Linked DNA regions of Daphnia pulex. The protein of the gene in region 3 purifies or fractionates together with the protein of the main gene of each other region. This does not show direct contact. Links are inferred from orthologs where the notes say so. Each region holds a gene or a part of one and is shown on either strand. Other genes may lie near its edges. The genes, in order: protein Churchill-like, src substrate cortactin-like and actin-related protein 2.

Region 1 (2,710 bases), on a different chromosome or scaffold from region 3:
CGACCAAGAAGCCTTGCACCACTGTATCTTGTTTGATTAGCCGCGGATGTTCTGACGAGTCTTGTTCTCAAGATGGCAACTGATCACATCCTGGAGCTAATGAGATCCATTAATATGTTCCATAATATCCTGTTTAAATTTATGTAAAAAGCAGTCTGATGTTTTATCTCCAAATGCATTACACGATATAATTTTAAGAGAATCAATTTTCTTGTTACTGTCCTTCCAAATTTAAACATGTTTGGTTACAAACTTCAGACTGTGGCACTTTTTAGTTCTGTTGGACCTCGCCAATTGTGGTTTTAAAGCTTCACCTTGATGATCGTGATCAGAAACAACGACAAATTTAACATTACCAGAAGTTATAGGTTAAAAGTAGCCCTTTTAAAAAACAATTTCAGCATATTGCAACAGTAAGCCAGTAATTGAAAAGCTATCATAGGTGAATCTAATCACATTTTCCATGACAATTTAGGATAAAGTATAGCAGGTAATGAATGCATGTTTCTGTTTGATACAGTTCCTCATTAGGAGTTACCAAGTTTTAGGACCAAATGTGAATGTCAACACAACATTGCACATTTGTGATAGCAGGAAAATTAATTTTTAAAATACAACTGTATTATTAATAATCAGTATTTAAGCGGTATCTTAGAAAAGTGTTACAAAAAAGGTTATGATGGAAAATTTAGAAAAAATCCAAAGAGGCCTTTTGAGGATCATCAGGAAGAATGCTAATTGAATCCTCAGCAGTTCCACACAATGCACAGTCCATTTCATATTCTTGGTAGTCACCTTCGGCCCAGAACTTGTAATTGTGAATGGAAATTATATGCTGGCAAGTACCACAAGCATCTAAATGTTATTGAAATAAATAATTACAAGGGGTGGTAAATTAACATATTAATCTGAATTTATGTTTTTATGCACACTGAACTTACGTTCAAAAACTGTTACTTCGATCCCATCATCTTCTGAAATGGTCTTGTTTAGCACACTCACTTGGTTTGATTGACATTTGCAGCAACATTTCAAATTTGCCATGTAAGCTCCCGAATCTAAGCACATTCTATCCTAAAATGTAAACCGAATTTAGTGACCCATTCTTAAACTTTAATTGATAGTTAAATTATACCCTATTGGGATATTCTTCTTTAAGACAACTTTCACACATAATTGAAGTTAAAAGAGAGGAAATAGTAATGTAGAACAGGAAATGCAGAGGAAGAATACTTCCTTTCTTGTTGGGGTTTGTTTGTTTTCAAAATCGCTACATTTAGTCTGCTCACAACACAGCTACAACGCCATCTATCTCATGAAAAAAAAACGACATGCATTGCGTTTTGGAAAGTTCCGTAATGCAACGGATTGGTACTACCTGCGTTAAGCAAAGCTAACCGAAGGGCTGTTTTTGATTTTTGTTTATTAAAAAAAATTGTGTAAGACGTTCAATAACTCGCTAATGGCCGTAACAAGACAAAGAATAAGAATAATCCAGCTCAGAGTAGGCTACCCGACTACCCGGTTTATCCTTATCCTGTAAGGCTGTAATATTCCTACTTTTTTCGAGAGAACAAACCATTGGGTTTTCTCTGTACTTCTTAAATCAATTTTATTCTTTGAATTCTTATTTTGAAAAAAAAAAAAAAAATTTGACGGTCGAGTTGCATAAATTGGCAACGCTGATGACCGTTTCTCCGCTTCCGTTAAAATACGTCAGTAAGTCTGCAGAGCTGCTCGTTGATGGACATGAATCGCAAGTCATCCCTCCCTTTGTTTTTCGAGCGGCGGATTGGACCATTGCATGGACGTTAAGGCTGCCAACTAAACTAACGTTGTATAAAATTTTCATACATTGAACTGCTTTACTACATTGAGAATTTACCATTTTGTCCGTTCACGCCAGTACTTCTTGCTCTATCTTAGGATCTGTGGTATCCATGAGTTTCCCGTCCCCCAACACGTGGTTGAAATGAAATAATCATTTTAGCCCAGGACTCCATGGACTAAGAACTGGAAGATTCTGAGGAGGAGATGGGCCAATGCACTGAAAGTCTAAAGCGCTAGATAATAAAAACATTTAAATCTCATTCTGATTCTCTAACTAATGAACATTTTATTGATTTCTACAGATATGGGAAAACAAAGAAGAAGAATATTTTCATTAGTCATTGTAGTTGGCACGGCAGTGGTGTTCATGCCCTGTTCTTACTTGAGCAATGCCCAGATTAATAGCCTAAACCTGGCAAATTGTCATCATACTCCAGGTAACTTAGCAACAGACTAGTTTTTGCGACCATTAAATTTATTCTCTCAGTGTGATCACTTTACTTATGTCAATTCTTTACAGATTGATGAAATGGAGAGAATGATGAAAAAATCACCCTTTCATCACAATGACAGCCTAATTTGAGCTTGCTCGAGTGCATGCTGCTGTCAACCTGATGCAGCCAGCAACGGAAGAAGAACCAAGATGATTGAACAAACCTAAACAACAATTACATTCAAAGGTCAGACCTTGAAGTTGGTGACGCAACTGCTCACTCTTCCTCGGCGCCGTCACTCCGACTTTTATGTAAGAAAAATGAATTCTACTAGATTTGTTGTTTTGACTTATATTTTTTTTCTTGTTATTAGGGAAATTGTTACGGCTTCTGCTGTCGTTGTTTCGACAATCGATGTGATTACAACTGCTGGCACGGGGACGTGC
Region 2 (4,247 bases), on a different chromosome or scaffold from region 3:
AATGAATCAACAGGCTGCATAAGATAGATTGGTCGGTTGGATCTCGGCACAATAATCATAACAAAGCATTGTGATTTGAGTCGGCAAACAACATCTAATTATTGGTTCTTAATTAAATGCAGATAAGGGATAACTTGCAATTCTCTTTCCACAATAATAGGCAAGAACGATGTTTTTCCGTCACACATTTTCATCAAATCAACTAATCTGTAATAAGTAATGTTTTTCTTCACCGCGTTGTGAATACTGACTGGACAACAATACACGAATATAACGCCACGCGTAAAAAGAACCGCCATATGGTTGGCTTACGAGATAAGGAAAATTCTTGGAAAGAATGCTTAACAATTGGGAATAAAAAAGAACCTTGGATTGTTGGATAAAACCTGGAAGACGAAAAAAACTGGATAGGGTTTCACTGTTGCAGTTGGACGTAATTAGCGGGAAATAATCCTATCTGTCCTCTACACTCCCCTCGCCACCAACCTTCATCGATCTGCACAGCAAAAGAGTTGGTTAGAAACTAAACACATTTTATAAATTAATAAACATTACCATTTCGATGTTGACAATGACTTCATCCGGGTCAAAGGAGAGCTCGTCTTCTGCAGCAGCTTGGTAATCGTAGAGGGCGACTGCAATAAGACCGGATCCAGTTTCTTCCGCAACTGTTTCTAAATTCGAATTCTCTTGGACGTAGCCTATCTCTTCTTCGTCTTTCCAGGCGTCATCCTGCTCATCCACTTGCTCCCTCCACGCTCCATCATCCACTTCTTCGACAGCTTCGGCCAGATCATCGTTCCATCGTTCAAGGGATTGCGCGATATGTTGTTGAGTTTGTGCCGGAACAGGTGGAACGACAGTCGGTGGAGGTGAAGGCGACCTAGCAGGTTCTGGAACTGGAGAAATCACAGGACTTTCTCGGATGACTGGCTCTGGTATAACAGGCGACTTGGCTGGGAGGAATTGGTTTTGTCGGACAGGTTTTTCTGTTTGGGGGATTTGTTTAATGGGTGGCTCTGTTTGAGGCGTCGACTGTGTTTCGAATTTGTGTGCTATCTTAGCCATTGGGCGGGGATTCTTCGGTGGAGGAGGAACAACCTAAAGAAATGAAAAATGATGTAATACATTTGTTTGTAATAAGAAACTATCAAACGTTTACCATGGCTGCTTTCTTGTTTTCTTCAGCAAAATTTTCAAAACGGGATTTCAGCAAAGACGCTTTACCTTTCTCTATGGAACCAAATGAGTTTAATAAATTCAAACCAAGAAAAACTTAACGGAAATTTTTATTGTTACCCGCAATAACTGGCTTATCCTTCTCGTAAGTAGTACCAACATGACCTTGTTCTTCATCAAAACCGACGGCCGCTGCATCTTGTCTATCTGTTTGAACACCAAATTTTCCTCCGAAACCTTTTGAACCATCTACTTGGCTCTCATGTTTCTCTACTTTTTCTTGGTAATCATAACCAACAGCACTCTGTCACAAAAGATAAATTAAGAAATTAGTTGGATTACAATAACATTGCATTGGTAGGTTATACTTTATCGACTCGATCAGCCTGGACACCAAATTTACCACCAAAACCTTTATTTCCATCCACCTGACTTTCATGTTTCTCCACTTTTTCTTGATAATCCCAGCCAACTGCACTCTAAAAATTGCACTTCAATAGAAAAAATTCCTTTGTTCAAACAGTTATAGAATTTGTTACTTTGTCGATGCGGTCGGTTTGTACGCCGAATTTCCCACCAAAACCTTTGGAACCATCTGTTTGACTTTCATGCTTTACCAACTTCTCCTGATAATCCCAACCAACAGCACTCTATTTAACCGATCCAAATAAAACGTGAGAAAATAGTGGGCATAACTGTAAAGTAACTGAAATAAAACAATAATGCGCATATTTTAATGAAATACCTTATCAACTCGATCAGTTTGAACTCCAAACTTGCCGCCAAACCCTTTGGCAGCATCTGTTTGACTGCCATGTTTTTCAACCTTGGCTACATAGTCATGCCCCACTGCAGACTTATCCATCCTTAATAAACAATAATAGTAAGAAATTGGAAAGATGTACAAAAAATGAATCCTGTTCTTACCTGTCCTTTTGAATGCCATATTTCCCACCAAAACCAGTGGTGTAATCTTTTTGAGAAGCATGTTTTTCAACTTTTTCGATATGTTCATGCCCGACTGCACTTTTATCCATACTGAAGAAACAAAAACAAAAGTTGATGAAATTCACATTTTAGTTTTCTAAGAAAAACATACCGATCTCCTTGTACACCAAATTTTCCACCATATCCATAAGATGCTTGAGGTCCTGCAGCCATTACCTTTTTCTTGAGCTCCAGATCTTCTTTAGTCGTTTGCTCTCGTAGAGCATTCATACTGTAAACATTGACAGAAACCGTTAACGTAAATACACAATGTCTTGAAGAAAACATTTATGCTCACTCAATAGCACCCGCAGTTCTTCCCCCACCCCATCGTTGTTCTTCTTCTGTTACGTTGTTAATATAATTGGGATCGGTATCCCATTCATCGTCATCTTGGTTGACAACAGGAGCCTTGATGCTGGAACCAACTGCTGATTTCCACATGTTATTACAATCTAGAGAGAAAAATAAATTTTAATTTAAAATTATTTGTGATAATTAATGATCTCTCTGACGTACAAATTCTTTAATAAATAGATATAATACTAATTTAAACCGGCTAAAAGTTGAGTCACACGCCCTTTCTATTTGATAAGAAGTTAAACAATCCGGATAGTTTATCTTGCAACAATGCCATTCGGAAATGAATTTTAAAAACTTATTTTTATTTCGTCATAAAATCTACTAATAATAATTAAAAAAAAAATTTAAATTGTTTCTATGAGTATAAAAGTGTAAATATCATTAATGAAAAGTTTGAAATATGATTTGGCGCAGCATAAAGATTCAAGCATGCACCATGCAGTCAATGCAGACGAAAACAGTAAACAAGAAATCATCAAACTGATTGTGTTGAGGCTTCAAACATCCTGAGAAAATGTCGACGAGAATGTAAGTCAAGAATTTCAAAGCTTAATTGGGTTCACTCAAAATTTATAATTAGTTACGATTAAAAAATCTAAAAATGTAGATATCCAGCTTTCAAAAGCGGTAGTCCTAAATTACGGGTGTTCCTACCTGACTTTTGGATGAAGCTTGTCAAACCGAGCCACAATTTGCTACCTAATCAAGTTCAGTTTGTTGTCTCATCACAAATGACCAAGCTTGATGTTAAACAATATCTTGAAAAAATTTACAACCTCCCTGTTGTTCATGTCAGCACCTACAACCAAATGGGTACGACAACATTATTGAGGTTAAAATAAGTGATGTTTTACTAACACTTAGAATAATTTTCTTTAAAGGGAAAACAAAAACTTTACCCAACACTTATGTCACTAAGGAAAATGATGAAAAAATAGCCTTTGTAACTCTGGTAATTTGAAAACTTATCTTGTTTAATGTTTCTTCAACTGTAACCATTTTGTTTTGTTTGTTTTTTAGCACAAAGACCACAAATTTGTCTTCCCAGAAATTCATGGCAGTACTGACATTTATGATGAGCAAACTAATACTATGAAACAGACAAAAGAATTGTATGCCCAGAAAACAAGCATTAATATTTCTAAACAAGGAGTGCCTACATGGTTTAGTCATTGAATTTGTAAAAAATTTGTTAGAATACAGTAATAACATATGGTTTATTTATTATTTTATTTCATTTGTATAAGATAAAAAGAAACTCCGGGTAGGCCTATGGCACGGTATTTGGTGGGGGGGGGGGGACTTATTGAAAATATTTTGCTTCGGAAAAAAAAGTGGCAGAAAGCAGAAAAGGGATTCCATAATTTTTCATTAACGTTGTATTGTATTACCCATTAACCCGAAATATTGAATAACTTTTAATAGTCTACATTTTTTCTCGTAACGCCAAACAAATAAGAACCAGATTAAATTTACAGATATGATAGTGGTTACCACCATTTAGCTTATTTTCCGCCCCAATGAGCCATAGGTCCATTGAAAGGATTCTTGATGCATTTATCCGAACTCAGATAAGCTGCAACTTTCTCTAGCCCTCCGATTCTCGCGTGAAATTCTTTCAGATTTGGGAATTCATCAATTGACCCAGGAATCATTTGAGAGTTCTGGTCCAATAACTCATAGACTACAAAGTCAATGTAGGTAATCTTCAAGAGAAT
Region 3 (4,281 bases):
CAAAGACTAAAAGGTAGAGCTTCGGAAAAAAATAAGAAAAGAATTGTTGTTTAAATGTCAAATCGTAGTCATGGCCGCCTTCTTATCTTCTTTGTGTTAAAGAAAATGCAAGAAGTCAACGGAAAAAAAAAACTACATTCATTCTCCTATACTACGCCTGTGCCTTATCCGAGAATTCACATATCCTTGTGTGCATTTCTTGCGGCTGTTTTTTTTTTTTAAATAATGACGTTGTTAACCATTTTAAACTATGGCTTCATGGTCGTGCCCAGTGTAACCTTTTAAAAAGGTATTTCCCTTCGTTTTTTTTTCTTTCTCCTGTTGTTGCCTTGGGAATGTTAAATATGTCCTCCTCTCTGAAATTATCTGCTACCACGGCCATACTTTCCCCCTATGTGCAATAATAAAATTGCTTGAGTTTTCTTCTCTCGCCTGATTAGTTGCTATAATTACAGAGGCTATTTTTGTTTATTCAGCCAGAATTTGGGGGTCAACAAAAATTAGGGAGGGCGGGAATGTGAACCCAGCAACATGAAAAAAAAAAATGGACATCTGATTAGTAATAACATGACCTTCGATGGGAATCGGAAAAGAGGAACGAGCGTTTAAAATTGCGCGTTAGGAGCGGTTGACCAGTTTGTCCAGCACGCGGATGCCACGCTCATTGTACTCTTCCCTCGACATCCAGAAAGATTCTTTGTCTTTCATGACATCGGCCAATACGGCACCACCAATGAAAACCATGTCTTTACGGCGAGGAGGATCTTCAATACGAATTTTGAATTTCTGCGTGCCAAGAAAAGAGTAGTAAGTAAAATGTACGTCTAGAACACAAAATTTCATCGTTGTACCGTAAGTTTCTCCGTGTCGCCTTTAAGAACTCGTTCAAGGTACAGCTGTTTGATTTCCCGTTCGAGCCTAGACGGAAGTCCGGGATACATGGTTGAACCGCCTGAAAGGACGATGTGTTTGTATAGCGACGGGCGGACATCGATGTCGGCCGCTTGGATAGTCGAGAAGACTAGCTCGGCGATTCCTGACCCTTCAACGTTGATCAAGTGAGGCTGGAAAAGCGCTTCAGGGGCTTCGAACCGTTCACCACCCACTTTGATGACGCGCCCATCTGGAAGCTTTTTTAGAAATCGAATTTTTTGGTTTTTAAATATGCCATGGCCACAGCGACTCGAAGGTAGAATAAAGGGAAACTTACTGTGTATGATTCGACTAAAACGGTTGTTTCGAGAGCCAGTTTTTGTTCCGTTTCAATGTTATAGCCAATATAACAAAGTTTTTCTTTCAACTGGCGAACAGTTTCAAAGTCTGCCGTATGATTGAATGCGTAGCCTCTCAGCAGCAAGAGCTATAAAGAGGAATATTACTGAATTCATGCCAAACTATTGCGGGATGGATCATTGATTCTACCTTGATGAGATATCGGGTAATATCTCTTCCGGCAATGTCAAGACGTCTGGTTAAGTGAGGCATTGCAAACCCTTCGTACACAGGACAAATGTGAGTGACACCGTCTCCAGAATCGACAACAACTCCCGTCAGCAGACCCTGTGCGTAAAGTGTTAGAACTGCTTGGATGGCCACGTAGGTTCCGGCAAATCCATATTTTTCGAACATGACCTGTAACAAACGGCACAAAGATTCGAATTTTTACACACCCATTTCCACCACCACCATTGAAACATGGTGACAATTAAAAACATTTACCTCAATCATTTTCTCGCGATTCTTCAAAGGGTTCATCGGAGGCTCTGTTAGCAAGACCTTACATTGGTGAGGGTCAATGTTCATTTTCTCAGGGCCAAAAGTGTAATCCCACACATGACACATGTCTTCCCAATTCCTAAGGAACACAAACAAGCAGATTTATAAACACCAGTTCAAATTTAATAAATGTATCGATATATACCTAACGATTCCGTTTTCCATAGGGTAGTTCACTTCAAGCATTGAGCGAAGTTTACTCGCGTCATCTCCGACCATTAAATCCTGTTGATAAAAGTCTTCATTAATTTAGATTCAATTAAAAAGAACACTAAGTTACATGCAACTAAACATCAATGCAAAATTCCAACAAACAATATCACACCATAAAGTGCTCAATACTTACAGATATGTGAGCAAATCCCTGATTGAAAGGCAAGCAATTAAGCCAAAATCATGATTCAGTTCATTAGAAAATAACAAAACCTTTTTTTACAATCAAAATCAAAACTCCACAAAGACATTCATGTTATAGGACGGCACAAGTTGGTTTTTTACTATCACTGTTATGACTTTATAGGTTTTTAAACTATATCTGTGTTATAAGAACATGACACAGATTTTTTTAAATGCAAAACATGTGAGATTCCCTCTGTACTTATCCTTGGAATGTCACCTTAATTTGATAACCCTAGAAAGTTTTGTGTGATGTCGAAACCATGGAAATGGACAGTAAGATCGAAACTGCTTGAAAGAAAAGAATTTTATCATACCTTCACTTCGATGTCACCAATTTTGTTGGCAGCGCGAATGATAGGTCGTCCAACCAAAGATGGGAAGATATGTGCTGGAAAGTTTGATCCTGCATATCCAACTTTGACAAACTATCCAACATTGATAAAGGTGAGTTGCTAGTTTGCTACATGGCCGGCAAAACAACATTAATAAATATTTCAAAAGAAAAAAATAACTCACCCCTGTTCCATTATCACAAACTAATACTTTTCTTCCTTGACTATCCATCTCAAAGTTTGTTAATAGTTGATTTTATATTGATAATCTCAATTCGTGAACAATACGACACACAATTTGACAGCGCCCTAAAACCAAAACTACTTCCCGTCGGAGCCAGACGATAGCAGCTCATGGGGGTTGGGAGTTGCCACGGCAACCGATTGCTTAACATCATTGGTTAATCCAGCTGGTTAATCAGTTAACTCTGGTTTTAAATGACTATCTCGAATCGTTATAAAATATTTGAGATAAAGTTTCTTAAAAAAAATTTTGAAATTGTAAAGTATAGATTTTAAATTAATTTGTGAACTACATTATTTTGATGCAATGATTTATCTGAAGAATTTTGGCAACGCCGTTAATCAACCGGGAAATTCAAAATGTTCAATAACAGACAAAAAAGAATTAAATAAATTAAACGAATGAATTGTATATGCATACTAAAGTCAAATACTCTTACCAACACTGAATATTATCCATTGAAGCATGCAACACTAGAACATCTTCTTTAAAGAACATGAAACCAAACTGGCCAAAATCATAGGAAGGCTGAGGAAACTAAATTGAGTAAATTCCTTGGCAAAGCAAGAACTTGATGATGCATTCAAATTTAAAAAGGATATTTCAAAGATTTTTTGCCATTCTTTTATTCCAAGCCTGTTCATGCTGTACACATGTTGTACATTACCAAATTTTCAAAATTTTTCATGTTATCAAATCAGATCACAAAACAGCCTTTACTGAAAAATATTTAGGTAGCAATTCTTGATATACTTTTAGATCTTTATCTAAAAACACACAGAATATCACTCTTTCCAATGTTGATTCATCACTTTCAAGAAATTTTCTTGTTGTTAACAATGCTACTGCAGCTGCATCTCTATTGGGGTAACCATAAACCCCAGTTGAAATGCAGGGAAATACCTAATTAAAATTTTGAAGATGAAGAAATGGAATCCCTAAAAGGTACTAGAATGTAAAATCATGACTTACTATTGTTTTTAGTTCATTTTTATTCGCAAGTTTAAGACTATTAGAATAACAATCAGACAGCAAGTTAGAGTCTTGGTCCATAGGTCCAACAGTCTGAATCACATCTGGAAACATAAATACTGTATAGAAACAGGATATCATTCATACTTTTTCTAGAGAAAAATTTACACTTTGCAGGTAGTTTGTATCCTCCTGTCAGTTTAGCATCCCCTGTTTGACAACCACCTTTGATAGATTGACATTCTTCAAGAAGATAAGGACCAGCTGCTTTATGAATTGCTCCATCAACTGTTGAGGTAACACAAAACATTGATAAACAATTTAGAAATTTTCAATATTCTTTATTAAATTTCACCTCCACCACCACCAGCCAACCTGCTATTGGCTGCATTGACAATCGCTCCAACTTCTAGTTGAGTTATATCCCCTTTCCAAAGAGAAACTTTAGAATTGATTGATAAATTGGGTTTTAAATCAGTATTGTTTCCATCTGATGTAGAATGGGGAATTTCTTTTGATGTCTCTTCCCAAGTTGGAATCTCTTTCACTGAAACACAA

What was found.
Region 1: the proteins of actin-related protein 2 (region 3) and protein Churchill-like purify together in Homo sapiens (affinity purification with mass spectrometry; 4 studies listed by BioGRID and IntAct, with this or other methods). This does not show direct contact. The link is inferred for Daphnia pulex from reciprocal best matches to the Homo sapiens genes ACTR2 and CHURC1.
Region 2: the proteins of actin-related protein 2 (region 3) and src substrate cortactin-like purify together in Homo sapiens (affinity purification with mass spectrometry; 3 studies listed by BioGRID and IntAct, with this or other methods). This does not show direct contact. The link is inferred for Daphnia pulex from reciprocal best matches to the Homo sapiens genes ACTR2 and CTTN.

What each region holds. Positions count from the first base shown.
Region 1 is NC_060026.1:15,993,344-15,996,053, forward strand, and holds protein Churchill-like, read right to left. Parts: upstream 1,291-2,710; 5' UTR 1,175-1,290; coding exon 1,136-1,174; intron 1,075-1,135; coding exon 942-1,074; intron 856-941; coding exon 689-855; 3' UTR 600-688; downstream 1-599. Other genes in the region: uncharacterized protein LOC124205734, read left to right, coding at 1-83. UniProt on the Homo sapiens protein: Transcriptional activator that mediates FGF signaling during neural development. Plays a role in the regulation of cell movement.
Region 2 is NC_060023.1:10,192,566-10,196,812, reverse strand, and holds the start of src substrate cortactin-like, read right to left. Parts: upstream 2,807-4,247; 5' UTR 2,686-2,806; intron 2,622-2,685; 5' UTR 2,611-2,621; coding exon 2,465-2,610; intron 2,399-2,464; coding exon 2,279-2,398; intron 2,218-2,278; coding exon 2,107-2,217; intron 2,046-2,106; coding exon 1,925-2,045; intron 1,830-1,924; coding exon 1,719-1,829; intron 1,659-1,718; coding exon 1,548-1,658; intron 1,484-1,547; coding exon 1,300-1,483; intron 1,234-1,299; coding exon 1,163-1,233; intron 1,102-1,162; coding exon 556-1,101; intron 497-555; coding exon 416-496; 3' UTR 1-415. Other genes in the region: 39S ribosomal protein L23, mitochondrial-like, read left to right, coding at 3,044-3,057, 3,137-3,342, 3,411-3,481, 3,550-3,705.
Region 3 is NC_060020.1:5,358,563-5,362,843, forward strand, and holds actin-related protein 2, read right to left. Parts: upstream 2,885-4,281; 5' UTR 2,740-2,884; coding exon 2,692-2,739; intron 2,601-2,691; coding exon 2,490-2,600; intron 2,002-2,489; coding exon 1,922-2,001; intron 1,856-1,921; coding exon 1,720-1,855; intron 1,633-1,719; coding exon 1,423-1,632; intron 1,361-1,422; coding exon 1,211-1,360; intron 1,131-1,210; coding exon 852-1,130; intron 787-851; coding exon 619-786; 3' UTR 450-618; downstream 1-449. Other genes in the region: macro domain-containing protein CT2219-like, read right to left, coding at 3,454-3,654, 3,724-3,827, 3,892-4,011, 4,079-4,281. UniProt on the Homo sapiens protein: ATP-binding component of the Arp2/3 complex, a multiprotein complex that mediates actin polymerization upon stimulation by nucleation-promoting factor (NPF).